Arabidopsis thaliana: one gene and its partners. The protein of the gene in region 1 interacts with the protein of each later gene in a pairwise test. Each region holds a gene or a part of one and is shown on either strand. Other genes may lie near its edges. The genes, in order: AT3G61790, AT5G04320, AT1G12440 and AT4G02940.

Region 1 (6,705 bases):
GGTTTTTTTCACATTATTTGAACAATTTCTGATCCGTTCAATTCATTGAAACTTGCTCTTTTAAGGACTAGTCAATGTTGATTGATCAGGTTTGTTGGTCAAATAACGCGGTGATAATTTTCTTTGACAGGTTCGATATCTGACGCTTTTCATAATCGACGAGCTATTCATGAGATCAAAGCTCTTTAGAACTTTGATAATTGAGAATCTTGATCAGCTTTTGAGTTTAAGTATTGGGTTTAGAAGCAATCTGCCTCTTCCTGCACCACCTGCTGTTGCCACTACGTTGCGTTCAAAGGCTATTGAGTTCTTGGAGAAGTGGAATTTGTCTTTTGGGTTTCATTACAAGGAGCTTAGACTTGGGTTTGATTACCTTAAGAATACCCTCAAGTTAAAGTTCCCTGATTTACAGGCTAATGCTGCACGGATTCAACGAGAGAGACAGGAGAGGGAGATGAAGACAAAAGAGATTTTGCGGAACAAGTTTGATTCCTTGAGAGTTAGTTTTGGACTCTTCAAGTATGAGATTGAGGTAACGATAAAGGAAATCAAGGAGTGTATGGAAATTGTTCAGTGGAGAGGGGATGATGGTGTTCCACTTGCGATCTTAGATGAGGAAGATTTTGAGGAGATCCGTTGTTCTCATCTGAGGCAAATTCGTCTTGATTCACTGAAACAATCAGAAAAGGTTGAAGAAACTGGTGAAAACAGAATTGTATTTGATGTGTTGAGGGAACAGTGCAAGCTTCTAGTGACAAAGCATCTGATCTCGGTTCAAGAAGGGATCTCTCTTCTCATTAGGGTTGACGTAAGTGATAACAGAACGAGAGATTCCATGTTGAAGGACTTGATTGATATCAGGAATAACATATTGGCAGCTAAAAAGAAATGGGAAGAAGCTGGTTTTACAATGTCAAGAATGACTGATATTCACGGTAATGAAGAAACAAACGAGGAAGAAGAAGATATCTGGGAGGAGGATGATGGCAAGGTTAAAACTGATTCAGTCAAGAACGTGGCTCATGTGATGAGAACTCAGCAGAGTGAGAATTCATCTTTACCATCATCAGGTGAAGCAAAGAAGTCTACATCAGAAGCTAGGTCCAATAAAGTGTCGAACACTAAAAAAGTTGGAAGCAGTGGAAACTCTCTTAGAGACAAGCTAATTTCTGAAGCGCCTGTGATGAATTGGGGATCACAGTTGACTAATTGGGAATCAACTACGGAAGTTCGAGCTAATTACCGGGGTTTAGAGATCGAGAGCCACTGGGGCAGGGTGGATCAAGATGCTATAATTCCAGCAGATAAAATAGCAGAATTGAATCTTCAGGCAACCGTGTATAGAGAAGAGAGAACAGAGACACCTCCATGCCGTGCTTCTCTAAAGAAAGGTGGTCTTTGCCAGAGAAGAGATCTCAGAGTCTGTCCGTTTCACGGACCCATTGTACCCCGGGATGATGAAGGAAACACCATAATCCAGGAATCTCCATTAGATGAGAGTGAAAACCAAACTTCTTCAACTTCAGGGACCAACCAGGATGTGTCTATGGATGAAACAACTTCAGATTCTGATCCTAATCAGTTAGCTAGGCAAATAGCGAAAGAGGCTCTGAAGAATATCCGGGAGAAAGACAAAGAAGTGGTGAGGAAAAGAGCAAAGCTTGTTAAGGTTAAGGTTAAGGAACACAATCATGAAGTTCTGCGTGGTGCGGCAATAGCCTCAACTTCTAGATCGAATGCTATGGATGATGAGTTTGATAGAGTTTTTGCTGAAAAGAAAAACAAGAAGCAAACCTTTTCCACAAGGCGTAAGAAAACAACGGCTAAAGATAGAATATCCCAGAGACTGTTTAGTAATCGAGTAAAAGGTACTAATCCACAGCAGTTGGCTCAGGGCAATGATGAAAAGTGCCGGGATACATCGGCTAACCAGTGGTAACAAATAACTAAAATCTTTCTAGTTTTGATCCAGTAGTGCCTTAAATTTGATTGTTTGATGCAAATAGGAGTAAAAAGCTAAAGAATATTTGATGAATGAATAATCAGATCCGCTTGTGATCTCTTGTAGCTGTGAAAACAGTTCTTAAGTCAAGTCCCAGATTCTTTGAAGCTTTATATTTTTCTCAGACAAAAGTCACAAAACCCAACAGAAAGATAATAGTACAATTGACATGTTCTGTTAAAAAGCAACGACAGATCATTGAAGCTGGATGGATCGTTGTTGTTCGCTTTTTTCTTTTTCTTTTATGTGGTGTGTTTAAGGATGATATCACTCATGAGACCGATCACTGATGAGAAGCAATTATTAATTGAATAATTTGCTTTTAAGATTGTGAGAGTTTGCTTGAGATGAAGAAGAGTAAAATGTTCATTTACATTATCATTGGTCTTTGAAGTGACTTTGAACCCAAGCCACATCCCATTACTTATTATTCCTCTTATGAATTTCATATTCTTAAACCGTCTAATTTTACCTAAATACATCTCTTAAAGTTTTTGTTAAAGTAAACAGAAAGATGAGCATGTTTTTCATGAATCTTTGAATTTAGCTGTCATTTTAGAAGTTGAAAATCATTTTTCTTGTACAAAGGAAAAGAAATTGTTTGAATTAAAAGTAAAAAAAGAACACACAATAATGATAGACAGAATCCCACTAGAGAGAAAAACATCTAGAATAAAAAAAAAGAAGCAATCATGTGCACCATGTACATATTTAGGCCCATCTCTACTGGATCATGGCCCTTTAATTAAAAACAAAGAAATCATTGAGTGAGAGAGGATATACTGTACGTATATTATTAGAATATGATTATTTTTCCCCTATCCAGTAAATTCTTCTGAATCTCTTATAATTCAATTTGTTTCCAAATAACATTCTCTCTTTAACACAGCCGCCTTTGTGACCGTCCGATCTTAAATCAGCGTTTCCGGTTCATTTGACGGCAACTATCTCTCTCTCTCTCTCTAGAGAATTGATGAAGAAGAGCATCTATCTTTTTTGTTTTTGAAAATTAACAACACTTCACGAGGGTTGACCTGTTTCGGTGGTGTTTCTTCAATTCCGGATTTTGATCTTTCGTTTCGATCGAAGATCAATCAAAGTCTCCACCTTTCTTCAATGGATTTGGATAGCATGGACTGTACATCAACCATGGATGTGACAGATGATGAAGAGATCCACCAAGATCGCCATTCCTACGCTTCTGTTTCCAAGCATCATCATACTAATAACAACACCACCAACGTTAATGCTGCTGCTTCTGGGCTTCTCCCTACCACCACCAGTGTTCATGAGCTTCTCGAATGTCCTGTCTGCACCAATTCTATGTACCCTCCCATTCATCAGGTCTTTCTTTTCAATCCCTTGTTCTCTGATTTCGTTTCCCCGGATCTTTAATTTGTTGATTTTGTTTAGGGTTTTGAGTTAATGATGTGAATCATGGATGTTGAAGCAGTGGTTGTGTTGCTCTTGTAACTTGAAATTTAGTTTTATCCATTCACTAATGGCTACAATTGAAACAATTGTCACTAAATTTTGTCAATAGCTTTGATAGTTTCTAAGATTCTTCTTATTGTTTCTTTAGAGAATTATGGAATAACAGATAGACAATTATTTGATTTCCCTACAGTGTCACAATGGACATACGTTGTGTTCAACCTGTAAAGCCAGGGTTCACAACCGCTGCCCAACTTGTAGACAAGAGCTCGGTGATATCCGTTGTTTGGCACTGGAAAAAGTAGCCGAATCACTTGAACTACCTTGTAAACACATGTCACTTGGATGTCCTGAAATCTTCCCTTATTACAGTAAGCTCAAACATGAGACTGTATGTAACTTCAGACCTTATAGCTGCCCTTATGCTGGATCCGAGTGTTCTGTTACGGGCGATATCCCTTTCTTAGTTGCTCATCTGAGGGATGATCATAAGGTGGATATGCATTCTGGGTGTACTTTCAACCATCGTTATGTCAAGTCTAATCCTCGTGAAGTCGAAAACGCCACATGGATGTTAACTGTAAGTACATATGAATCGTGCTTCATAGTATACACTTAGATAAGTTAGGAGGCTTTGTTTAAAGTAATAGGATTATATTTGTGATAAAATTTGATCTGTCTGGTATAAACTGTAATGTGATCAGCTGAGTCAAATTTTGCTTTTGTTGCGAGTTAGCTTTCCTAGAGAAGGTCCAGTTATTTATCTAATCTATGGTTGTGAATTGTGAATCTTCCATCTCGCTATACATGTTGACTTGATATACTTTAATGCTTATCAAGGTTTCCTCTGTTTTGGTTTTGTTTCTGGTTCAAAAATGAAAATCAGGTCTTTCACTGCTTCGGTCAATACTTCTGTCTTCACTTTGAGGCATTCCAGCTCGGAATGGCTCCAGTCTACATGGCGTTCCTGCGTTTCATGGGGGACGAGACAGAAGCTCGAAACTACAATTACAGTTTAGAAGTGGGAGGTTATGGTCGGAAGCTGATATGGGAAGGAACACCAAGAAGCGTAAGAGACAGCCACAGGAAAGTTAGAGACAGTCATGATGGACTAATTATACAAAGAAACATGGCTCTCTTCTTCTCAGGTGGAGATAGGAAAGAGCTGAAACTTCGAGTCACTGGAAGGATATGGAAAGAGCAACAACAAAGTGGTGAAGGTGGAGGAGCTTGTATCCCAAACTTGTCTTGAAAATTAAAAAAAAAAAATCAAACTGATTTTGAAAACCTCACCGATTTGGCCTTGTCTCTGTAACCATGGTTATCTGTAATTAGGGTTTTCTCTGACGATAAACTTGGGGTTGTTCTTATGTATCTCTCTCTGTCTTTCTCATGTCATGGAGGTTTTTTTATTATAAAATATATAGTTCATTACAATTCTGCTATATCTGGAGGAAAAACGTAAAATGTTGAACCTTTTACTTTTATCAACTGTAGTGTTCATAAATTTATGTAATGCTTGTGTTGTGTCCACGAAACGACGACGTTTCATCATTGTTCTGTTAAACCCAGCTTTTGGAACTTGGAAGTGATGAGCTTTATATCTGGAAAATGTAAAATGTTGAACCTTTTTTCAACTGTAGTGTTGTTCAAAGGCGTTAGCTTTGTTTAAGAAACGACGACGTTTCATCATTGTTCTGTTAAACCCAGCTTTTGGGGGTTTTCTCACTCGGAAGTGAGCTTTATCCCTTTGGTTTCCATCAATGGAGGTTCTACTAAACTCCAATGATGGTTTCTTCAATTTCTCGTCTTTCTCGTCCAATTCGAACAGGAGACTCGCTAACCAACGTCGATTCAACTTGCCCATCTCCAAATTCCACTACTATCGCGTTTCAATTCTCCGAGTCTCGGCTCGGTTCGGAGAGACCTCGAGGCGACGTAATTCGCTGAGGAAGAAGATCATCGGTGATGAGTATTGGCGTTCGACTCCGAAATCTTCTGAACCAGGTACGAAACCTCTAAACGAAAGCCATAAGTTTGGTCACTGTGATGATTTAAGTAGCACCGAGGGATTGAAAGATAGGGTTGCTCAAGATTCAAATTTGCTGAATGAGCTTGAAGATTGGGTTGCTCGGTATAACAAGGAAGCAGAGTTTTGGGGTATTGGTTCGAATCCCATTTTCACTGTCTATCAGGATTCTGTTGGAAACGTAGAGAAAGTAGAGGTTGATGAAGACGAGGTCTTGAGTAGAAGAAGATCAGCTCTTGGGGATTTGGAATCAGTGAGTTCTAAGCTTGTATATGCGAAGAAATTAGCTGAACAAATGGAGAATGGGGAACATGTGATCCATAAGGAGAGTTCTCTTGTCAAGTTCGTTTCTTCTTCTTCTTCTTCAGAGGAAGAGTTTCGTCTCGTTAGCTCAGTCCAAAACGCAATTCTTCGTCTTGACTTAATTCCAAAGTTGCCGGCGATTGGAAGAGCTGTTTTGTGTGGTTACATTGGACTCTGGTTGCTGAAGACGGTGCTTGTGTATAGGAAGAGTAATGAGGTTGAGTGTACAGAGTTGGAGAAGGAGATGATGAGGAGAAAGATGAAAGCTTGGCAGGAAAGGGATATGTCGGAGAAAGGTACCGTGGAAGTTTTGCACAAGGAGGGTTTGGAAAAGCCATTGATGTCATTTGAGAAGCCTAAGTTTGATCGAAATGAACTTATGACTAGTATTTCTAAAGTTAAGGGTTCAGAGAAGAAACTGGAACTCGTGAATTCTCCTCATGTTGAGCTGGACTTTGTTGATAAGATCCATGAAATCAAAGCAATGGCTAGACGAGCACGGGAGATAGAAGCTGGCATAGAACTTAATGAAAAGCAGAAGCTCGATGTGAACAAAGAAACAGGCGACAATGAGGAAGATATAAGCATTCAGTCACAGAAGAGTCTTCCACATGAGGCTTTGACACACAGTGAAGGTGATGATGATAAAGATGAACGCTTGGGAACTTCGACTGACAGTGAGAACACTGAACTTTCTGGTTTTGCTGTTCCGATGTTGAATGGGGCTATGGTAGATTTTGGTTTTCTGAATCATGAAATGGCAGCATCTGACAAAGAAAAGGTGAGTAATGTGGTACCACCAGTTCCTACAGACGGAGTCATCCAATCTTCTGATGTCTCTAAGGATCAGTTAAGTATGATGAAGAATAGCACTGGTCGTAAGTCACGGGTCATACGGTCTGTAAAAGAGGCTAAAGAGTTCCTTTCAAGAAGAAGT
Region 2 (8,012 bases), on another chromosome or scaffold:
AACTAGGAAATATACGTTTCTAAAGAAAAAAATGTTGAATGTTATATAGTCTAGAATATAGTGTTAGAAATAATTAAAAGAATCGAATAAAAGTATAGAGGCAAAAATAAACGTAATAAAGTAGATGCTAGTTTGGGTGGAGGAAGCAATTGAATAGATGATTTGATAATAATACCTTGGATCGCCGAAAACGCCGGCATTGACCGTGAGCTGGTCAATGATCGCGGCGGCTTTAGGCTGAACACTGGTGGCTCTGGCATACGCTGGGCTCACTCCGTCACCTGACGGCACGAAAAAAGCTCCGTTAACCATAACGTCACCTTCCGTTCTCCAGTTCCATCCCGACCAATGTTTCTCGTTTGAGTCCACGCGCTTCGTTACCTTTACAAAACAACACAGTAACGTGAGAACCACGCGACACCAAAGCGTCAAAGTCAAAGACACACTACAATGTTTCTCGTCTCATTTAATTTGATTTGGAGGATGTGACTGTGTTAAGTGTCAACGTCGTAGACGACAAATATTGTAACCGGCATATAAGACTTAGCCGGCGCGAGGGATTAACGCGCAAGTGGACCAATATTGCATGACACGTCAGAAAGAGCACACCGATCCCACAAATACTTATCCTGTTTTTAAGAGAGCTTTAAACTTTCCCATTAAAAGTTCTACCAAATTTGAGAAAAATTTGAATTCAAGAACTTGTTTTCTTTGAAGTAGTAAACATTCAAAAACATTATGTGTAAAATGCTTGGTTATGTAAGTTTTTTGTGAAATCGATTTGATACATAATAGACGGGTAAGTAGAATTTATACCTCTTTGGCATTGGGATCAATAGGTGCGGTGTAACGGTTACCCTGACTATTAATTGTAGGGCTAGCACTTCCGCCGATTGCATACATTTCCCATGCCGTGAAGTCGTTGTTCACCACGTGGATATAACCGTGCCTACACCGCGGCATCCTCTGAACAAGCCCTTCTCCGAAATGGTTGAATGCAATTGTTACTTGCATCCCCTTATCAGCCGTGTACCTTTTTAATACAATACCATGACCATAAGCCATTAAATTTGGGTTAAATTGATAAATCCAAAAGTTTAACTCTTTAATTGGAAGATTAGTAAATAAGGGGCTTTTTGGGAAATAAGTGGACATAATTACCGGTCGTCGTGACCTAGGAGCATAACCTCGTCGTGATGAGAGAAATAGTTGTTGGAGATTGTGACGGCGGTGGAAGCGAGGATGACGTCGATGAGTCCGTCCGCACAGTAACCGAGAGAACAGTGATCGACCCAAATGTGATGAGAAGCTGATACTGAGATTCCGTCTCCGTCGGAGACTCCTCGAAATCCAACATGTGTAGGCGACGAAGCGACCAAAGTGTTGCCGGAGGGTTTACAGTGGTGAATGTGAACGTTGTGGATGATGACGTGGCTAACCTGCTGAATCGTGAGGCAACCATGGCCGGTGATTTGGATATTCGTGCCTCTTCCATCGATTGTCTTGTAGCTTCCGATGATGAGCTCGTGTTTGAGTTTGATTCCCATGTCGCTGGAGAAGATGATCCATAGTGGTTCTGGCTGAATCACGGCGTGTCGAAGAGTTCCGGGAATTGGATTCGCTGCGTCGTTGTCGGAGGAATCGGTGACGAGGTAAAACTGACCGCCTTTTCCTCCGAGTGTTCCTTGTCCGAAACCAATTGAGCAATCGGCGAGTCTTTGGCGGTTTGCCGACCAGTTTGGGTCGCAGCGCCAACAATCGTCGATTGGGTTTCCGGTGATGCAAGAAGGTATTGGTGACGACGCCGTGGTGCCGTCGTCTTGTTGGTAAGTGAGAAGTTGTCTTCTTGAGAGAGAATCGTTGAGTTTTCTACATTAAGAAACAGAGCATGTTAAAATGTTAGTTGGGAAAGAAACAGAGAAGATTGCTCTGTTTCTGATATTGTCATTATCATTATAAGAATAACAGAGGTTTTAAAGATTCAAACTTTTTTGAAATTTTAGTTGGATTACTTGAGAATGAGAAAGACCCACAAGATAAAGCATGAAAATGAATCAAACCCTTAAATGAAATCAAATAAAATGTAAGAGAAAAGTTATACCTTTGAACATTAAGAACAACATGTTCAGGGAATGGGTGTTGGTGTGGGAGAGAAAGATTGAAGATAGATGCTGAGGTTGATGATGCTCTTCCATGGTGAGAGAGAGAAACCAAGAGGCAAAACCAGATAATGCAAATGCACGTTGGTTTTTGAAGATTATGGATCCTCCTCTCATGAGCCACCATTATATCTCCTATTATATCTTATGAAAAGACCAGCAGAATTAGAAACTCAAGTTCCTTAAATATGGGTTTATGGGGAATTGTGCAAATTGGGTTATATAATAAACTAGGGCCAAAAGAATTTTATTTGTGTGTTTGCCTTCCTACATAGTATCTCTCTCTAATCTCTCTAGTTTGTTTCAAGTGGAAGAAAAGAAAATTAGAGAGAAAGAGAGAGTGTGTGAAAGGGGTCAGAGAATCCTTAAAGTGCTTAATCAAAACTATTTCTCCCACCTTTCTCCAATCTGATTCTTACTTTTGTAAGAGTGACTCAGTTTACTTGAATTACCCAATCATCCACGTATGACGTATCCCTCTCTCTAAAACAACTTTTCTATGGATTTAGCAGCCTTTTTATATGTCACTGATCACGGGATAAATCAATAATGTAGTTTGCGTTATAAACATGCATATAAAACTTAGACCAAAAAAACATGCATATAAAACAATACTTACCTTGACGAAAATACTCGATGCAGCGCAAGAATTCTCTTAGTTTTTGAAAGATTTATTGATGTAGCGTCATCTTTATCACTTCTTGTGCAAGACATAAGCTTTATTTCTTCTTTTGTTTCTTGTTTAAGTTTGCCTTTTCCAATTTGATTTCCTTTTCTTTGTTGAACTTTACTTTTCAATTAGGGTTTTGTTAAGGCTAAAGTCGGCTGTGACTTAGTTATATAAAGATATGTAATGTCTCTTTAGAGACTTGGTTTATGATTGAATAAAAGAAGAGCTTTCTTCAACATTGAAGTCTTCGAGTTCTTGATCCATTGATCCTTGAACCTCAACTATAACTGTTTTGAAATTTCTGTTTAAGTAAATGGTGATGAAAAGAAAAAGAACAATAATCAATAGAATTTTGACCTAGAGATAACAATTTGACCTAACCCATAATGGTCTTCACTTATCTTTGTCTATTAATCGAGTGTTTTAGTTGCAGTTATTTTTCATCAAATGTATCTTCACTAAAGAAATCGAATCAATGAAACTCTTGTGAATAGTTTTGAATTTCGACAAACCAGTAATATGTTTGCTAATTTAATCAGCCTAATTATAATTTGACAAAGTGGCGCCCCCAACAACCTATCCGTATACAATAGTTTATTGCAATTGCAGTTGTAGGCTTGTGGTATTCGTTTGTTATGGAGAATGTATTCAAAGAAAAAAACAAAATGTTGAAATTGTGAAGAAGAAAAAAAAAAAAAACCGAGGAAAAGTGATAGAATATAAGAAAGAATTACAAAGGAAATAATGTATCATCAATTCAATAAAATCGGCTATATTTATATAAGTGATCGGTACAACTTGACAAAGATTTTTTGTCAGATTCTACTAGGCCAAGTTGGCATTGTTAATGAGTTTTAATTATCACGGTTTTAGGCAACATAATATTAAATTTTAATAAATTATGTAATAGTTACAATTTATAATCATAGTTGTTTAGAAGAATACCTTTGACGTGAAACTACAACTACATGTGAGCAGAGCTATAAACCTAAATGTTTCTGATTCCAACCGAATTTTAAGATTTTGATCCAAAAACTACAACCGAATTTTAAGTTTTTCATCCGAAAACTGATTACAGTAGTTATTATTGCACATAGCCACATTTGTTTTTTAATGAAGGTTTTAACTTTTAACTATTTAAATTGCAGAAAAAGAGAAATTGTTTTTACAAATGCCCATTATGAGTTATGACCAATTTATTTCGAGCCCAATTAAAGCAGCTCAAAAGCCCAACTAGAAGGAAATTGAATTTTCTAATCAGATGTGAACCGGGTTTTAAAGCTGATGAAACCAGACCAGGTGAATTTTTTTGTAAATTTGTTGACTTGGTTTGCCGCCGATCCAACCGTATCTTTCCGTCTTCTTCGATAGAGTGAGAATCTAGGGTTTGGGAGATGAGCAGTCGATTCCGTTGGATCCCCAGCACCACATCTGTATGAAATTAAAGGCTGTGAGTCTATCTGAAAGCTTGATTTCATTGGCTTCGATTTGCTTGAAGAGATAATCGAAGAGATTCCGGTGACGACGGTGATACATTGTTGACTTCCATTTTCTTCCGAATTTTGAAAGGTTCTGAAGCTAGGAGAGAGTACGATTCTCACTATCGTGTTTACTGGTAAGTTAATTCATTGTCCAAATTGTTTAGCTTTTACTGGAATCGAAAGTATGAGTGAGGCTTGATTCATGTTTCCCCAATTTCAGAGTCCCCAATCAAAGGATGGTGCTAACTGAAATGAGCCTTGACTACTCTAATAGGGTTTTAGGTTCCCAAAAGGTGAACAATATTCATACATGAACCAACAAATCTTTCCCATTCCCTGCCGCTGTTGCTAATCGATAGCAACTTGCAGGATAATGTAAAACAAATGGATAAAGAAGAGACGCAGCAGAAGGAAAATATGCTATTCTCTTCCCAGGAATATGCTGCAAAGCTTCAAAAGGCATTTCCTCTTCACTTTAATCTTGTTGAATCCTGGCATATAATTTTTTTTTTCTGATTTGGTTGCTGTATTGATTTGATTTTGCAGGAAAACATGACACTGATGAAAGCTCTAGCACACCGAAAGTATGTGTCTTGTTTTCGTTAGAATATGTTGGCTTTTGAGTTTCATGAACGTTTTCTTTGTTGGTAATCTTTGTTTTGTGTGCTTATTTTGTGAATACAGTAAACTCGTCGAGTTGAGCGGTATTGAGATTCAGAAACTGAGGATTAACTTACGGAGTGTGCAGGAAAAGAATTTGCAGCTTGCTCAGGCAAACAGTCAGATGTTAGCGGTGTGTCCCATCCTTCTATGTTTTGATTTTGTGATGATTGCGAGATTATTTGAAACTATATGATTAAAGTATGGCTTCATTGTCCTTTTTTCATGTTTTTCCTGCCAGGAACTCAATACAAATAGAGACAGAGTAAGCTTTTCTAGAACTGAATTCTCTCAAACTGATGCTTTTCTTGATTCATTATATTACAAGTTCTTCAATCAATTGACATTGTATGTGATTTTTTTTTCAGCTCAAGGATCTCCAGCATGAACTTGGCTGCAAGAATGCTTTACTTAAAGTCAAGAAACATCTTGAGGTAAGTTATTCCGTTGGCCTACATATTTTCCATTGACTATAGTTACCAACGAAAAAGTTTAAAACTAGAGATTTGTTATTGTCCAGGAGCAAGTACTTCCACGTACACATCATGAATCGAAAGACAAGGTGTTTACTTGGATTATCCTTGGTGACATTCTCAGAATAAAAAATTATCACCTTTTCTACATTGTTTTCATACTATTTGGCTTTGTTGTTGACTTGAAGGTTTCAGCAAGCGCTTCTGATGGGGATTGCAAATCCTTTCAGGTGCATGACATAAAACATAAAGATACCAAGAGAAAGCGAACAACAAGGATAAAATGTAAACTGTTTTGCCTAATTTCATTGTTGATCCTAAATGCTTCGCATCCTTACTCTATATTGTTTCATCTTCAGCTTCAGTAAGTGCCGACGTCAAGCCAATACCTGTGAATGATTCTAACAGTAAAGCTAACCGTAAAAGGTCCTAATCTGCTTTATGTTTTATCCATGTTTTCTGTGAAAGATTTTGGCAGTCATGTAAACCTGAATTGTTATTGTTTTTTTTTGTAGAAGAGTTTCTGGAGTAATAGATACTACTGGTATTCCCGAAGAGATCTGTCAGACTGAAGATGACATTGATAAGGGGGTTGTCTCTCGAGGGGTAAACCAAGATATTGACAATGTTGTCAACAAGAAGTTTGTTCCTGATGCAGCAAACCCGGTAAAAGAGAGTGTGCATCGCAAGAGGTTCTTATTCAGTCCAAGAATTACAGTTTACATCAATGTCTACACAAAAGCAGTGGGAATATAAGTATATCTGATTTGTACTTTTTATCTTTTCTTGTTCTTGGTTGTTTCGTTGTAGGCAATGTACACGAAGGCAATCTACCAGATTTGATGTTCAAGAAACTAAACAAACGGAAAAGTTGCTTGAGATGGATGGTGCCAAAGAAAGTAAAGAAACCGCAAGGTTATTAGTTTTTTTTTTTTTTCCTCTTTCCACTTTAATTACTGACTGCAAACTCTGAATTGACAATAGCGTATTGTGATGACACTTTCTCCGTTTCGAGCAGCTTCTCTTTGAGAAGACGGTCTGCTCGGTTAAGGCACGAAGAAGCTGAACCATGTAAAAGCTTACATGAGGGAGACGAAGTCAGGGAGACAATCAAGAGGAGAAGGTTTGTAAGAGGCCTGAATTACTTCATATTTACAAGTAGTATCCTTTTAACAGATGTTACTAAAAATGCGTTAGAGGTCACTAATTTCCTGTATAACTTGTGCAGAGTCTCTTTAAGACTGTCTGCAAGGTTTGATATACAAGAACCGCATGTGACTGAAACCTCGAATGCTGACGATGCAAGGTTTGTTGAAACAAAAATTAAAAAATTTCTCCATCCCGTCGACAGATAACACAGAAATTGAGTTTAGCTAATGCCACTTGTGATTTCCCTCCTGGATAATATCTTCAGAAGCATAGTAATCGAAGAATCTGCTGGATCAAGATCGGAATCTGTAGAACCATCCGAAAGCAGGCATGAAACAAAAGAGATAACCCGGAAACGCAGGTTTGTTAGTGACAGTGAATTTCCTGCATTTCCGCTGATGAATATCAACTCTTAGTTATGTAATGTGACTGTTATCTCTGTGGTGTACTTGCCAGTTTCTCAACGAGAAGACAATCAACAAAGGGTAAATCTCAAACCGATGAAGCCATTAAAGAAATAGCGACAGACCCATCTTTGGTCAACACCATAGTTCAAGAGTGTGATCAGGAAACAGAATCAAAGGATAAGCCTAAAGCTGATGAAAACGAAGGGATGACAAGAAGATCATCTGTGGGAAGACCATCGAGACATGCCGCAGAGAAAGTCCAATCATACAGAGAAGTCTCACTTAGAGTAAAGATGCGACGAAAATGCTAAATCTCCAGCATTGTCTTGTGCTTTTGTATTCTTAATCTGCAAAATTGTTATTCAAAAGCTTACTTCATGCTCTTGTATGGCTTTTGCCTTCTATATCTACGCCTCTGTATTTTGTCGTTACTTTATTATGCTAATTTTTCTTGAATACATTAATTAAAATTAAGTCGTTTAATGTGGTATTGTTTTGATTTGTTTGTTTAGATTATATATTCACACAAATAACAACGTACAATAGGAATTTTCTCAATTTAAGGTTCTATAACACATTACAAGTTATTACTCCGATTCCGAAAACTCTTGTTTTCAAAGGTGGAGGCTTCACGAGACGACGATGGGGCAGAGGAGGCGCGTGGTCGGCACCGCCACCAAAGGAATTGCCTTAGGAACGGTGAGACCCGGTCCTTCAACGGTGTCGACGTCACCGGGATTCATACCGTCCGGTAAACTCCACGTGAAGCAGTGTAGAAGATGAGCCACCGCAAGCTCAAATGCGTACAACCCGAGTTGCATACCCGGGCACGATCTCCGACCCGACCCGAATGGAACAAATTCGAAATTATTCCCCTTCAGATCCGGAGCAATCGGGTTTAAAAACCTACCCGGGTTAAAACTTTCCGGGTCGGACCAAGAATTCGGGTCACGCCCTAGAGCGTAGGTATTGACCATCACACGCGAACCCTTGGGGATGAAGTAACCGGAAAT
Region 3 (6,353 bases), on another chromosome or scaffold:
ATAGCAATATTTTCACTATATGAAGCCAGATTTGCTCCTTTTTTCGATGATTTTCAATACTTATGCTTAATTTTAAGATACGCTATATATTTTCTTCACTCGTTACATCATTATTCAGACCAAGTAATAAAAATTGCCAGGAAATTATTCCTTGTTAAATACATCAAACGTATCATATGATCCATATGAAATTGATCCAAACCTATCCATATGAAATTGAAGTTGGCGCAGTTGGTCCGACGGCCCAATAACGTGGCACTAAACCCAAACATCACAGAGGTTCTCGCGTTGACTACTCTGTCAACAAAACCGAAACAGATGACGTCATCATTGACACTCAGCATCGAAGTTAGCTCCAAAGATCATTTGATACATAAATTTCATGGAACATAGGAGGACACACAGTCTTCATGGATCATTTTTGTTTTTACTTTTGAACAAAACCCAACAAGACATTGTTCCATGATACATAAGGTGGATTATATGCAAGGAAAGAAAAAGACTTAGATGATCTAATAAATATACATTGGAAATTTTCAAAATTCAATTGATACATATCATATATACAAGAGAAAAAGACATAAATATTCATTTTCAAATGAATAAGAATAACAAAAAAAAAAAAAAACATTATATATTATCAATTTCAAGATCGTGTTAGATGATGGTATGTTGTGGTCATGGTGAAAAGAGTTAATAAAGTATTGGATTTTGTAATGTCTCTACGTCCTCTGATTGCATCGCACTTAGCTTCTTCTTCGCATAGATTGTGCAGACTATAGTCGCGCTCGCAGTTACACAGAAGCCAAGAACATTCACGACTATCTCCACAACCGAAAGTGTGTGTCTCGTGTCTGATGCAACTGCTAGTGTCCTTAGCATTATACCCCTGCAAATATCCCAAAACAGAAAACCACCAGTCTTAAGATTCTGCAGAACATGCCTTAAACATTGAGACAAGAGACATAGAGAAAGAGAGAGAGGCATGTACGTGTAAATTGAGACAAAGATCTCAGGAACCATTCCAACAAGAGAGCCTAAGATATAAGGACCATAATGAACTCCAGTCGCTAAAGCGCAGTAGTTGTAAATGATGTAAGGAAATGGAGAGACACGGATTAGTGTGACTGCTTGAAACTGATGAAACCAGGTTCCTTCACCAGCAGCTCTAAGTATGGCTGCTTTTTTAGGGTATTTCTTCAACCATTCCTGCACAAATGACAAGAAAGAAAAAAAGTCCAAATTGATCATCTCATGGTACAAGCTTAATAATAAGTATCCGAACAAAGAGTATGGGATGATGATGCTTACTTGCATCTTGTGGAGGAAGAGATGTCCAATTAAGAAAGGAAGAGTAACACCGATGGAAGCAGCTGATAAAATCAGAAGAAACCCTTTTCCATAACCAAATGTAAGACCAGCCATCCACATGGAAGGGGAAGAAGGAAGAAGAATGCTTGGAAACAATGCCACTGAGGCAAATAGTAGAAGACCGAGAACCGGTATGCTGAATGTGTTTCTCACCCAATTTATAAATGGAATCAGCTCCTGAAACAAATCACACCAACATTAATGATGATAAATGAATAACCTTCCTTATAAACACATACTCATACATGTAATTCAAGAACCCTAATTTTCAACAATTAAAAACCCAGCAGAAACCAGAATCATTATGCATACCCTAATCCAATCAAATGTAACCAATAAGCATCAGATCTTCGAGAGACAAAAAAAAAACGAACCTTTTCAATCAAAAAGGGACCAACCCATTTGATGATAACAAAGGCCAATGAACCCAAACAAACGACCAAGGAGATCAATTTCACCCAGAACCAGACAGAAGTAACCGATCCTATCGGACATCTCGATGATTCCGCCGATGATCCTTCATCTTCTTCATTTGATCCTCCTCTCAATTTCAGATAATCACCATTATCGGAATCTTCTTCGACTCTCAATTTCAGCTCAGGCACCGTCCCATCGACGCCATTGCTGTACGTCATAGATCGATGCGAAGATAAAACCAAAAAAAGTGAATCCTTTTGGCTCTAAAAAAAATATCTCAAAAGTTTCCGTCAGAATCGTTATGCACCTCTGTTTGTTTTCCTTCGGTTTCTCGAGAAAATTAAACCGTTAGATCAAATGTTGTGTTGATCGGAGAGAGCGAATGGGGTTAGAAGAAAGAATCTTTATTATTCGTTTCCGTTCTTAGCTTTAAAAACTTTTAAAAAATGATATCCTTATAATTAGGTGGTTTAGTTTCAACTTATTAAACCGGTGTCGTAGTCAAACATGTGGAGACATATGAGTGGCTAATAGCTGTTGCTCCGTCACGAACCACCGATAAATGTGTAAGCAGAGTTGCTTTAGACCGGCGCTTTATTTTCGCTTTGCCGTTACGGTGCGTACATACATCGTACTGACAGAAGAAATACGTAACATATTTAATTATTGAAATTTAGTTGCTTGAAGGCAATTTATATATATTACGGAGCATAACATAAAAGAAAACGAGAGGATCGAACAAGAGAATGAAACGCAACCAAAGTTGATACTTGTAAGCAAAATATAAGAACAAGACTCCCTGTAAAAATGAACATATCGATAGATGATATATAGATTAGATAGCTACGTTTTGAAGTATTAATACCATACCAAAGAGGAGCATAAGAACTAAGAAGCTTATGGACCCTATAAACAATTCACAAACTATATCAAATTTAATTTGGTTGTGGACCTTATGGTCAGTATTGGATCCAAAAAAAAGGATGCAGTCGCGAGTGAGAGTCGCTTGCTAATATAACGTCTTGAATGATAGCGTTCGATGATTTTGGATTTCGATTAGTCGTTTCCAAACCAGATAAATGGAAATTGAATTAGTCTCGATTTTAAGGACAAGCATAAACAAATTATAGCTCAAGATTAGATATAGTGGTGTCCAAAACACTTTACGTAAATTAAAACGATTTAGTCATGTTGATATTTGCAAGTAAACTCAGTGAGAAAAGACCTGACCACTTTTAAAATCCGGTCGTTTTAGCGAAGAAAAGAAAGAGATAATTGAAAAGGCCCAAGGAAGAAAGAGTACATTTGGAACAACATATCATCACATTCCGATCAAATCAAAAGAGCGATGGACTAATCGCGTCGGGACAAACGCGCCACCTTTTTTCTTTATCCTACTGTTACGTCACCGTCCAACCAGCTAAGCATGTCCCCACAAACCAAACCCGGTTCATATAAAACCGATTATCTTCACGAACTCGAACCAACTTTATCGTAATCCACAAACACCATAAAAAGTTGATAACCCCACCCATTTTATATCCACTTTATCTCATCAAAAAACTTCCAATCACCACCGTTGGATTAGTAAACAATGGCGTCATCACTCTCCGATTGTTTCATCGAACGAATATTATCAGGGATGTATTAAATCTTCCGTGCGCCTTACCGCATATGAATAAACCATTTGACCACAAAGACAAATGCAAAAGAACTAAAAGAGTCTGGTTTCTGTTCTGTCCTAATTTCTCTCTGGCGAAAGCTAAGAGGTTTCGGTTACGGTCTCCATCTCCGATCAAATCACGAAGTTTCTATCGGAAATTTTCAGTGATACATACCGTCAGAGATTTTCTTTACGAGAGAATTGTCGCCGACATACTAAAGCAGAGTTTTGGGTGGGAATTAGGTAAATATCTTATTGGTTTTGTTCTGTGCCGATATGCAGATTTGTGTTCTTCGTTTGAATCCTTCATCTATTCTTGAACCATTCGATTTAAGTTTTTGACGGCGAAGATTAAACAACTCTTATCTATCTCTTTTTTGTCCTTTTTTGCGCCGGAAGGGTAAAGTGGTCTTTGTGAGATAGACGCTGACCTGGTCTTAAGTGTTGACAAATGACGCATTTACTCTTCGACTTTATAAAGAGTTCCAAGGGTATTTTAGTCATAAATGAGAAATAATTTTAGTCTTTCTCGCTTGAGAAACAAGCCAAGAATCTCCGTTTTCTAAATCTTTCGATATTGTCAATTTCCCTTTATTTTCTCGACGGAATCATAAATAAAAACCCTAAACCTAAAGTCACAAATTCATTCTTCATCTGTTATTCACGATTTGTGTTGTCTTTTCTTTTGCAGTAAGATTTCGACTTTGGAATTGGGAGATCTTTCCATTATGGGTTCTGAGCAAAACGACAGCACAAGCTTCTCTCCTTCAGAGCCAAAGCTCTGCGTCAAAGGATGTGGCTTCTTCGGATCTCCATCGAACATGAACCTCTGCTCTAAATGCTACAGAGACATCCGAGCCACGGAGGAACAAACCGCTTCCGCTAAAGCCGCCGTCGAGAAATCTCTAAACCCTAATAAACCCAAAACTCAACCACAACAGAGCCAAGAAATCACTCAAGGCGTCCTCGGATCTGGATCGTCTTCCTCATCAACGAGAGGGGGTGATTCGGCTGCTGCTCCGTTGGATCCACCGAAATCGACGGCTACGAGATGCTTGAGCTGTAACAAGAAAGTTGGCGTGACGGGTTTCAAGTGTAGGTGTGGAAGCACTTTCTGTGGAACTCATAGATATCCAGAGAGTCACGAGTGCCAATTCGATTTCAAAGGAGTTGCGAGAGAAGCTATTGCTAAAGCTAATCCTGTGGTGAAGGCTGATAAGGTTGATAGGATATGAATTGGTGAAGAAACTGTTGTGTTCTCTTTTGTTTTTTTATTTTCAAGTCTCGTGATGTTGGTGGTTTGGCTCTCTGTTTTCTGCTCTTATTATGGTTTTATTTGCTTTTAGGGTTTCTTAGGAAAGGCCTTAGATTCTGCTATTATGTGGTTTCATGTTTTGCAACATTGGATTTGTTGTTCTGTAATAAAGTGTTGGTTATATTATGAAATTGTGTTCTTATTGGTACCAGCTTACTTCTTCTTACTTGGAGAAGTTGAATTGTTTGCAGATATAGGATTCTCTTGGTTATGAGGCTTATGAACTAGTTGGGGGTCGTAAATAGCTTATGGTGGATAAAAGTGTGTAGCTTGATAGTTCTGAAACTAAAGATGTCGTATAGAGCTTATGGTGGATTCCCCTGGTTTGTTTATAGTGGACGAACAAGTTGGGGTTTGTATATAGCATTATAGCTTATGGTGGATAAAGTATGTAGCTTGAAATTTCTGAAGCTGAAGATGTTGTTCAGGGTATCTTTATCGAGTCATGGAAGATTTAGATGTGTCTTTAGTTTAGGTGTTAAGTGTCCTTGATTGAATGAGTCATTGATTTTGCTTTCTCTGTCTTAGCTGGAGAAAGTAGTGTTCTTCTTACCTGGACAAAGTTTGATTCACTTAAGAGTTGTGGGACTTAGAGTAAGTGGAGTTTTTATATAGCTTATGGTGGATCCAATGAAGTAGTCAAAGTAGTTTACCTATATCGAACCATGGCAGATTAAGAGATGTTTAGGTGATAGTGCCCAGTGATTGAACGAAATCAGTGATTTTTGCCTGGTAGTGGCAGTATGCTTTGATAGCTTAAGAAACTTTAAAGACTTGAGGCTCGGTTTTGGCCATGATCGATTTGTTTGAACTAGTTGGGATATTCGGTGTTGTAGTCGATGACTGTAGATTGAATACATTCTGTCGTTTGTGTATACATATTCCCTAGCAATGATGCTCATAAGATTATTTCCCTGTGCTTGTATGATCTTCATCTCGTTGGGGTTATGTTTAAAGTGTAACCCATCAAAAGTTTTTAGCAAAAAGATGGAATAGTCAATGCCAATGCAGATCTTTGAATGGTGTGTATTGAACAATGTCAATATCCACAATCAAGTGCACTAGTTGCATCTGATCTATTTTTATAAAAGAAGTATCCATCCAAATTTTTTATATACTGTCTTCGCATACAACTGATTTTGATCTGAAATTTCACTAGATGAAACTGGATTTGATTTTCAATACGGTTTCTAAATTGTCTAAACTATGAAAAACTGTAACAAACAAAAATTGATATCAAAACTTAAGACTGCAACCGACGAGTTGAGGTAGACTATGAAATGATAGAACATATGTCCTTGGTGTGGGTAAACTGTTGCTTTCACTTTCACTTTCACTTCTTGATGGTTACATTACAATATTGGGTCCATTTTTCGGATCTTATCAACCAATTTACAAAAAGCAAAGAGAGAAAAGCAGTGCACTACAGTTTTCTTTATAAAACTTAACAAATGAACATGTAGACTTTTAGTTTTCAACTGTGAAACATGTTTTGTACTTCTTTGCTTTAGGCTTTATTATTTTTCTTTCTTATACATGAAAAAATAGTGGAACAATGAAGTACTTACTGCGACATTGCAACCTTTG
Region 4 (9,480 bases), on another chromosome or scaffold:
TCATTCATTACGTTGATGTACCCTAGCTACTCACTCTTGTATATATATTGTGATTCTCACTATGTAATGAAATCATCTCTTCTATAAACATCTATAGATTCAACATTTGATCTTTGTACTAGTGATACATTGAAGTAGTAAAAGAAATGTGAATTAGAATGTACACAGAGCTTATAGTAACTCAACAAGAACTTATTTCTCTTCTTTCAGCTCATATTGGTATTACATGTGTTAGGATATTTCAGAAACCTGTGAACTTTGGAAAAAGCAAGAAAACTTGAAGAAAGACTAAAACCAATAAGAAAAAGAGTTTAAGATCGATTAGTGATCAAACGTTCAACCACTTGTGAGTTTAACATATCCTTGGGAAATCTGAATCGTATCACCGTAAGCAACACCGTTGGTCAAGAATGACTGATCTTCGTGTAATACAGCCTGCTTATGCTTGTGTATTAAGTAATACATTCCTTGAGGCAGATTTAACTCACCCCTCTCTTGCATCTTAACCAGCTCTTTCCTCAGTTCTTCAACGTTATCATCTGCTGTAACCTCTACTTGAATCATCCTGGTATATCCATATGGCTGCAACATTACTATCATCTTCATCGCAGGCGAGTCTGTAAAGTTAATGACCTCTTCGACTGAGTCTGACGGCGAAGATTCTCTGTTTTTAACCTCTTGATCCCTGTTTCTTATGCTCCCAACCGCCACAGTCGACGAATCTCGAGGGGCAAGTAACTCATCAAGTGAATATGATGGTCGTGATGATCCATTGTCGATTCTCTTCGCCACCACTCTCATTAATGGAGGCCGATCTTGTTGATTCTTACTGAACTTTTCCATAGTCAAAGCACTTGATTGTGGCGATAATGGAGAATCTTGATTGTTAACGAACTCATGAATAGGATTTGATGGTGTTGATGGAGATTGGTTGGTTTGAGGCACTTGGTTCTGAGTAGGGTTATCGTCAGGAGAGATGGAGAGAAGGATACGAGAGTTGTGACGTATCTGGCATCCAAACATATTAAGATGGTCTTGAAGTACCTTGCGTTTGAAGATAAGTATTTGCTTGGAAACAGGGGTCCCTTGAGTCATCTCGATCTTCCGTTTAATCATTAACACTGTGTCCCAGAAAGAAACATCAATGGTGAACGATGAGCCACTCTGATTCTCGATGATCACACTTATCATTGTATCAATGGAGACTGATGAAGAGTGAATAGAGAAAGAGAGAGTCTGAATAGAGAAGGTGATGTCAACTTGGGACTTTTTTTGTAACGAAAGTTTCCTCATAATGTGTTAACTAATGACCTATTATTTTGCTTATCTTTCTCTCAATTTTGCTATTTTTGAAAGAGATTTTATCTATTGTTCTTTGTCAACAAACGTGAAAGATAAAAAAATTCAACAATCTTGAAAAAAAGTAACCAAAAATACAAAATTTTTTTTTTTTTTTTTTGGTAAAAGGTGAAGGAATACAACGACATGGAAATCACTAAAAGCTTAATGTGGCTTTGAAGAGATGATGTTGTGCTATAATCTGATTTTGTTTGAAAACTAGCAATGAAAGGTAACATTTTGAGAATATACTGATAATAAAATCGTACACAAAGTAGAAAACACATGCCTCGGGGGATGTAACAAACTTAATTCTATCTATAAAACCTGAGTTAACCTAAACTGAATTTGAAAGAACAAAAAAAGAAACAGAACAGAGAAGAAACAGAGCATTGCTTAGAAAAAGACCAATTCCAAGTTTTTTTTTCTTTTTGCTGAAGAAGTCGAATAGGATTAACCTACAGTGATCACAGGCTCAGAGGTGGATCCTCCAGCTGGAGAAGAAGAAGCAGCAGGAGGAAGCGGAAGTAATCGCTTCTTCTGCGCGCGTGGAGGCAAATGCTTCACATGTTTTCTTGAGCTATTAACAGAGGCCCATGGTAAGAAAACACCGGTACCACCACCGGTTCCCATCACATTGGGACTTGGTAATATCATTGGTTGAACCGGTGGTGGTGCCATCATGACCATTGGAGGACGTAGGACTCCAAGTTTTGGCATCATGTCAATTGAATGATCATAACCATTGAGGAATGGAGTTGGTGTCATTTGGTAGGGTTGCCACATTGTCATGACACCGTCGTTGCGAGGACTGTTGGGTTGTGAATGGTTATGATATGTGTCAGGTCGAATACGAAAGAATGTGATGCTTACTCTTTTGTTTTGTGATGGACACATTACATGTCTTGCCATGTCTGCACTGTTCCCTCTCATCACCAACAAAGATCTATAAAGATCAGGTCAAACAATGTTAATGAAGCGAAACCGACCTTTTTCTTGGAGTTAAAGAAAGAGGTTTTTGATATTATTTTTACCCTTGTTTGAGAGAGAGTGTCAAAGGTCCTCTGAAGTTGCCTTCGTTGTCACTTGAGAGAATGCGTCCATAGGCCATTGTTGATTCAGAGAGGACAAGAGTGGAGATTGGTTGTTCTAAGTGAGGTGGTTTGAGGAAAGGCTGTGAGTATTCACCCTGAAAAAGAGTGGCAATCTCGAAGGTTAAAGAAAAGCGGAAACATAAAGGAATGGTGATCCATGGAGATGTATATACCTCTTCAAAGAAGTTGATGACACAGCCGTTAGGTCTCTTGTATTCTGGGATGAGTCTCCATGTGACAAAGTGATCAATGACACTCTCAAGAAGTGGTGGAATTGGCTCGATGTTAACTACAAACCAACAAAAACTCTAATCGGTCAAAGCCATCCACATGGATCAAACCATTTAGACTGAAACTTGCGGATCAAGCGATTCCTTACCAGAGTTGTTGGTGTCGTTAGAGTTTTCATCCGCCTTGACATGACCAAAGATGGGGACACCAAGCTGAATCAGCTCTCTCTTGTTCCCTTTAATCTGTTTGTTGAACAGTATAAAGCTCTCACCTGCATTCATCTTGTATAAGCACCGGAAAACTCTTAAAGCCTATAATGTGTTTAGCGTAAGACAAAGTCAGTCACCTGCAAGCTTCCCGTTTATGCCAGCTTCTCGTAGTTCTGCCACAAAGTCTAACAATTTAGATATCTCATCTTCTTTAAGTAACTCTTCATACAGCTTTAGTCCTTTCACAACATTCACCTATATCACCACAACATTAATTTATCAATAACCATATGCATATGTATGTCTCTCAAATCGAACTTATCACACTACTCACAGTGTGGCCTTTGACTTGTTCTTTAGCTTGGAAACCTTTGATAGGTTTGATCTCACATGAACGTGCATCACAATCTTCATGGCTATGGCATATAATCTGATGTGCAGTATCCGCAACAACAGTTTGGTGAACATCCTGATGAGAACCTATGTAACAAAAACCATAAAATTATTCAAGTTTTTGTTCATACTTAACTACAAAAAAAATTAGTTGAATTAGTGTTTTTAATCAATTAATTAATGTGAGCTTCGAATCTTTGGCTTTAGTGAGAAACACATCGACTAAAGTAATGACAGTAAATGTGATATTTGATTCTCATGGACCATTCTAAAGAACTACTAATAGTTTCCTTGTAAAATGTATCAGAGAAAGTCAGAGACTTTCAATGTAGAAGACATCAAGACAAGACTACAAAGTCTACTGTGTTCGTCCACGTGTCTTTACCTAAACATGCGACTTTCAACACGAGTAAATTAAATACCACACATCACGAAGAAAAACTCACTAGACTGGTAAAAAGATCTATACCAAATAAAAAAAACCTTTATAGAGTTCTGACTTATTTTTATGGCCGTGAACAAAAAGCAAAAAGCCAAAATGTGCGCGTGAGTCGTGAGGGATTCGAACATTCGGGACGAGAAGAGAAAAGTTAAAGGGCGGCACGGAGAATCGTGGGGACCATAATTGATGACGACTCAAGTTTTAATTAAATCCAACGGCTGCTATGAGCTCACCATTCGAAGAAGAAAGAATAAAAATTGCAATAAAATCATCACACGCGAATCAATGTGAGATTGATACCTTTGATGCGTTTAACAGTTACATCAACTAGAGCACAAGACAACAAAATTGTTGCCTACTACTACTACCACTAACACACACAACCACATTGAGAATAGGAATCCTACTACTGTAATCTTTTAATTCCAAACGACATCGTTATGACGTTTTTGGTCCATTTTTACATTGTTAGAAGTCAGAGAAACTTTTTCAGATTATATGCTTTTTCAACACAACTACAATAGATTTGTACTTTTGTACGAATTTTCATGAAAGTTTGTGTTAATTTTTTATTCTTTTAATATAGTAATAAGGTCTGATTTTATGATTCGAACCCTGTTTTAATATGTACGTACTTTGCATAACTAAAGTAACACTAATAGTTACGTTACAATTATTTTGTCCTAAAAAATTAGTTTCGTGTAAAAGATCAAAGTTAAGTGAAGAAATAAAAAATTATAAACCAACTATAAAGCCGGCAACAAAATATATTAATAAATTATACTTAGTCATATAAATTTATAATATATTATCTTTTCACACACGTTAAAAGTAACTAACATAAATTAATTTCTTAGTTTTCAGCGAAATATTCGTCTTTAACTATATATTATTTTTTTATTACAAAAATATATAACTAAAAAGTTTCCAAACATGGTATTAAAAATACCAGGCTGTGTTAGTCATTTGATTAGTGTGGAACATAAAAAATAAAGATTTCTTTTTTTAGAAAGAATCAGGTTAATTTGGTAAAATTATTTCTAAAAATCGAATCTCTGGCATAATGATGCAACAAAATCTCACGATTGATATATATATAAAGAAAACAATTTAAATAAAAATAGTAGTAATACTAATTAAGAATTAAAAGTCAAAATTGTTTAGAATACATCTCGGATCCAGTAGAGGGAAACACGTACTTAAATCTTGAAACTTGAATTAGTCTGAGAAATATATTCTAAAATATAAAATATTGTTATTTTCTTCTTTAACAAGAAATATATATATATATATATACAAAAAAAAACAACTATTTTCAACTCATTCTCATAATTGTAATGAAGTTTTTTAAAAAAAATCGTCACCAACCACAGAGAGCCAGTTTACACAGTGAACAGAGAAGAATCAAATGACCAAACTTTCAAAGAATATGCTTTTTCAAATGAACAAAAGAACAATAATTATATGAGAAAACCTATCATTGTTTCTGGTAAAACTATATAGAAAATTCTGGATCCAAGAAAAAAATATACTTCTTTTGAGAATTGTGAAGTTTTTTTTTACTTACCTGAATCAGTGATATCACTAGTTGGTGAATCATCTTCAACGTCTTCTACATCTCCGTTTACGTCATTCTCCGTTACTTTCTCGCCGTTAAAACACTCTTTCTTCACTTCCTCTTCCTCCGTCGCCACCACCTCTTTCAGATCTTCCTCCGCCTCCTCCTCTGTTTTCTTCTGTTTCAGATCCTCCGCTTTCTTAGCCGCCACTTTCTGAAGCTCGATCGCTACTTCAGCGATGGAATGATACTTCTGCATCTGAAGAACAGGGATCCAATTCAGACGACGGCGATGGATCGCCGCGAATACAGCTTCGTACTCCGATCCAGATACCGCTTCTTCAGCTATCCTTAGATGCGAGCACATCGCGTCGATTATCGCGTTTGCCGCAGCGAATTCTCCTCTGAACCATGAGATCAACGCATCTTTACCTAATCCTTCGGAAACCACAGTCGCCGGAGGAACTTGAACCGGAACGCTCACCGCCTTCGCCGTCGTGACGTAAGCAGGGTTGAAACCAGTGGCTGATCGATCTGTCTGGCGTGCTGGCGCTGCCGCAATCGTCATCGGCGTAGTATCCGGCGAAGATTCAGTTGTTCTCTCTTTGATCGATTATTCCGATCAGTCGGCGGCGGAAACAGAAAAGGCTAAAATGGGTTTAAAATGTGGGCCGGGTCGGGTATAGGGTCGGGTCGTTGCACATGCAAGTGTAATGAGAAGGTTTTTTCTGAGGAGAGAGTTTGGTTCCAATTTATATTGGGAGGGATCCGTACAGGTGGGAGAGGCTTATGGTGATGATGTGGCACTCTCTTGTAGCTGACGTGGCTAAACTTCTGGCCCCTCTTTGCCCGTTTCTTATTCCACAGAGTTTTCTTTTTTGAAATTGTTTTGGACAAAAGAGTTTAATTTGGTATTATACAGGAATAATTTGATGATGTTTTTGTGTGGTTAAATTAGGTAGATGGCAAGATTTGACGATGAAATTTAAAAACAAATAATGATGTTTTTGATCGCCATTAAATAGTATATTGATTTTTAATTTTTTAATAACTTTTATTTAATTATTATCGAATATGTGATTTTTAAAAATATATATAACATGCTATTTTGTTATGTGGATGTCTAATTTAATTACCTAGACGATTATGTTGGTATATAAACGTCTACTTTATCAAATAGATTTCTAACAAAACAAAATTTAAACGTGAAATCACAAATCATAATTTTTATGTGATTTTGCAATGTTATTTGATGGAGTTAAAACTTCAATTTTCTCAGATTTTAAAAATGTAAAAGCTATCAAACATTAGTTTTGTTTTTCTTGTACTCTTTATATAAGTTTTTTTGTGGGGTCAAAATATGATGTTATATTATTGAAGAATACATGATAGAGAAAATTATAAAATAAATTATATTTTATTATTAATGAAATAAGAATAAAATGTATAATATGTAAAGGATTTTTTTTAGTTGCGTTTTGAAAAAAAAGAAAATTGGTTTCTTACACTTTAGATGTAAAACACCAAATAATTTGAAATAGAAAGAAATCTCTAAAACTTTTTATAAAGAAAAGACAGAATCTGATGGAATATGTTGTAAGCATTAGCGTGCAATTAAGCCTAGGTTAAAAAGCTGTATTAGTTGTATTCACTTCTTGTAAAATTGGTAAGTTAATTTAAGTTCTTTCAAAAAGTTGTGACATGGTATGCATTTTTGGGGTTGATGTTTACGCACAATAGTTCCTTGGGACAACAAAAGAACGGCGCTGAACAAAAGAGTTATCTTGCCGTATCACATAAAATGACTTCCAATTATGTATTTATTCTGAACTATAAAAGTACTAATATCGTTTTCTTTATCTATAATCAAACGATTCCAAGTAACATCTAATCCTTGTCATTTGTTGTGGTTAACTTTGATCAAAATTGTGGTGGAATGATTTGAACTTTATGGTTCTAAACTTTTAAAACAATAAACGCCTATAAATTTAGTTGATACTTAAACTTTTCAACGAGTTTTAATAATGTATAAAGATTGATGTTTACCATAAATCTAACATTTCAATGCATCATTTATGAATAATATAATTTTTTCAAAATGCTATTAAATAGAAAATGTTAATTTATAATTTAAATAATTTTTTTTCAAAATGCTATTAAATAGAAAATTTTAATTTATGAATGATTTGTGTCAAATATTACTATCAGAATTTTATGAAAATCAACTTATATACACACCAGATTATTTTCCATTTTGTACTCATTCTATATTATTTTTGTTGCTATATATTATTCTTCTACAATTGGTATAAGCAGCTAATATTTTTTATTCTGTTTGCAACATATTTTAGTGAATTTTAAACATAGAAATATGTATAAGACATTGATCGTTTGGTGTTATGTGTTAATATTTTTGAACTTTACACCAACCAAACTCATGAGTCATGATGTCAATGTCCATGTCCATGAGGCCCGTGGAAGATGATCTAAGAGATGACGCATAAAGTAATAATAATCAAATTGTTTTTGTACCTCTAAGATATTAATTAATTAGTCTAAGAGCTTCTTCTACTATTATCGTTGTTCTTATTTGACTTCTCCTTTTGTTTACAAGTCAATTCACTAATAGTTGAAAAAGCTCCCTTCTACGTGATTAGTTGAAAACATTAAATATGATAGTTACAAAATAGAAAAAAAAAAAAATAGAAGATTCCGATCCGTGATTAGTAAGTATTGATCCGTGGTTTGTTGTTTCGCATGAAATTTTTGTTGAAAAAAGTTTCGATAAAACTTGTTTATCTAGTAGTCATAAATCTAAAAATATGTGAATTTCGTTTTAATTAGCGTTGAAAAAAATGTTGAATTAGAATTTAGATGGTGTTGACTAGAAAAACATTGAATTTTATGGTGAGACTAAATTATTATCACCAATCCATAAAGAGCAAAAAGGTTAAGTAGCCTCTTGGCAAAAAGGTAAAGAATCAATGAATGATGGGTTAGACCAACGAAATGTAAAATTATGGGACCGGAATGAAAAGTCTACGAAAATGGTGGGGTGAGGTAAAATTTGGGCCTACATCGTCCAGATTTGTGGGTCGCCGAAACAGCACCACCCTCTAACATCAGTAGATTCCCTTTTCCACTACCTATGGCACACACACAAAAGAGGTATGGGGTTAACTCACGAACCCTTAGTGACCCATAAAAGTGGTGCTCATTGTTTTTCATAAGAAAGTTTCTGATCATGATCCATGAAGAAATGCTCACTCGTATTTTGTTGATCGGATCTTCTATTTCTAGATACAGATAAACTTTTAAGACAGTAAATTATCACACAAGTTCACTGGATAAATTTGTATGTAGCCACTAGCCACATAAATAGTATAAAATTTGGGGTATTTGTGTATTTGGACACTTTAAATTCTAACCAACTCTTTGAGTTTGAGACATTCTTTTGGGAGTATTTGTCTAAACTAGCATGTTATTGATTACATTATTACCCTCTCAAAATTGAATATTTACTCTTCCACCATTTTATATTTGTCTAAACTAGCATGCTACTCCATTCTCTCAACATGCTTTCTATTTTAACATTTCTTGCTACTGAAGAGAAATGAGAAAATAGGGGTTTTCACCCTTTCTTGTGGCGTTACTCGATCGCTAACACTCGAATTGGTGAAAGCTCATGGGCAAAAGATTCATTTGTCGCGACAACGAGACCAACACTCAAATGCATATAATTTTGTGTTACAATCGCATTTCGAAGTTGTGAAAACATATAGTATCTTGTCATTTTCAGTCATTTAAAATAAGGCGCCAACCAGCTTTTTTTATTATTATTGTTTTAACGAAATTTATTTTCTTCGAATTTTATTTAATGGTTTGTCCAGTTTTAATTTATATACGTCTTTGAATTCTTAGACATGCATATCAATCTGTTAGAAATTCACAAAGCTTTATTTATAGAATTAATTATGGATTTGCCATTTTTGGATAACATTTATAAATTTCCTTTTTTATAAAATTTGTGGATTTTATATTTTTTCAAGCTATAAAATTGTGATTTAACATATGTTTTATTCGTTATATTTGAGTTTAGTCGATTACAGTTGTTCTTATGGTTTATTCTTTGGTATAAAATACGTATTTTCGCCAAAAAAATCCTAAATACATACATTTTTAAGTGTTACAAAATGACAAATACATCAAAATTTA

The links.
Region 2: the proteins of AT3G61790 (region 1) and AT5G04320 interact in a two-hybrid assay, tested with the Arabidopsis thaliana proteins (one large-scale study listed by BioGRID).
Region 3: the proteins of AT3G61790 (region 1) and AT1G12440 interact in a two-hybrid assay, tested with the Arabidopsis thaliana proteins (one large-scale study listed by BioGRID).
Region 4: the proteins of AT3G61790 (region 1) and AT4G02940 interact in a two-hybrid assay, tested with the Arabidopsis thaliana proteins (one large-scale study listed by BioGRID).

Annotation. Positions count from the first base shown.
Region 1 is NC_003074.8:22,869,957-22,876,661, reverse strand, and holds AT3G61790 (Protein with RING/U-box and TRAF-like domain), read left to right. Parts: upstream 1-2,828; 5' UTR 2,829-3,118; coding exon 3,119-3,346; intron 3,347-3,629; coding exon 3,630-4,016; intron 4,017-4,322; coding exon 4,323-4,688; 3' UTR 4,689-4,965; downstream 4,966-6,705. Other genes in the region: AT3G61800 (ENTH/VHS protein), read left to right, coding at 1-1, 131-1,939; emb1703 (embryo defective 1703), read left to right, coding at 5,200-6,705. UniProt on the Arabidopsis thaliana protein: E3 ubiquitin-protein ligase that mediates ubiquitination and subsequent proteasomal degradation of target proteins.
Region 2 is NC_003076.8:1,205,067-1,213,078, forward strand, and holds AT5G04320 (Shugoshin C terminus), read left to right. Parts: upstream 1-4,130; 5' UTR 4,131-4,279; exon of another isoform or gene 4,280-4,398; 5' UTR 4,399-4,444; intron 4,445-4,530; 5' UTR 4,531-4,546; coding exon 4,547-4,603; exon of another isoform or gene 4,604-4,679; coding exon 4,680-4,769; exon of another isoform or gene 4,770-4,856; coding exon 4,857-4,894; intron 4,895-4,994; coding exon 4,995-5,103; intron 5,104-5,211; coding exon 5,212-5,235; intron 5,236-5,338; coding exon 5,339-5,404; intron 5,405-5,490; coding exon 5,491-5,532; intron 5,533-5,631; coding exon 5,632-5,728; intron 5,729-5,802; coding exon 5,803-5,869; intron 5,870-5,958; coding exon 5,959-6,135; intron 6,136-6,253; coding exon 6,254-6,358; intron 6,359-6,461; coding exon 6,462-6,566; intron 6,567-6,671; coding exon 6,672-6,749; intron 6,750-6,857; coding exon 6,858-6,953; intron 6,954-7,048; coding exon 7,049-7,310; 3' UTR 7,311-7,512; downstream 7,513-8,012. Other genes in the region: AT5G04310 (Pectin lyase-like superfamily protein), read right to left, coding at 176-381, 817-1,033, 1,162-1,869, 2,102-2,286; CYP84A4 (Cytochrome P450 superfamily protein), read right to left, coding at 7,629-8,012. UniProt on the Arabidopsis thaliana protein: Dispensable for both meiotic and mitotic cell cycle progression. Required with SGO1 for full protection of centromeric cohesion during anaphase I. Required to prevent precocious release of pericentromeric cohesins during meiosis. Acts redundantly to SGO1.
Region 3 is NC_003070.9:4,240,149-4,246,501, reverse strand, and holds AT1G12440 (A20/AN1-like zinc finger family protein), read left to right. Parts: upstream 1-3,300; 5' UTR 3,301-3,694; exon of another isoform or gene 3,695-4,142; 5' UTR 4,143-4,179; coding exon 4,180-4,686; 3' UTR 4,687-5,081; downstream 5,082-6,353. Other genes in the region: AT1G12450 (SNARE associated Golgi protein family), read right to left, coding at 694-889, 992-1,209, 1,312-1,548, 1,746-2,006. UniProt on the Arabidopsis thaliana protein: May be involved in environmental stress response.
Region 4 is NC_003075.7:1,303,011-1,312,490, reverse strand, and holds AT4G02940 (oxidoreductase, 2OG-Fe(II) oxygenase family protein), read right to left. Parts: upstream 6,179-9,480; 5' UTR 5,834-6,178; coding exon 5,275-5,833; intron 3,353-5,274; coding exon 3,207-3,352; intron 3,128-3,206; coding exon 3,010-3,127; intron 2,935-3,009; coding exon 2,812-2,934; intron 2,722-2,811; coding exon 2,606-2,721; intron 2,528-2,605; coding exon 2,373-2,527; intron 2,285-2,372; coding exon 1,792-2,284; 3' UTR 1,453-1,791; downstream 1-1,452. Other genes in the region: AT4G02950 (Ubiquitin family protein), read right to left, coding at 337-1,293. UniProt on the Arabidopsis thaliana protein: Dioxygenase that demethylates RNA by oxidative demethylation: specifically demethylates N(6)-methyladenosine (m6A) RNA, the most prevalent internal modification of messenger RNA (mRNA) in higher eukaryotes.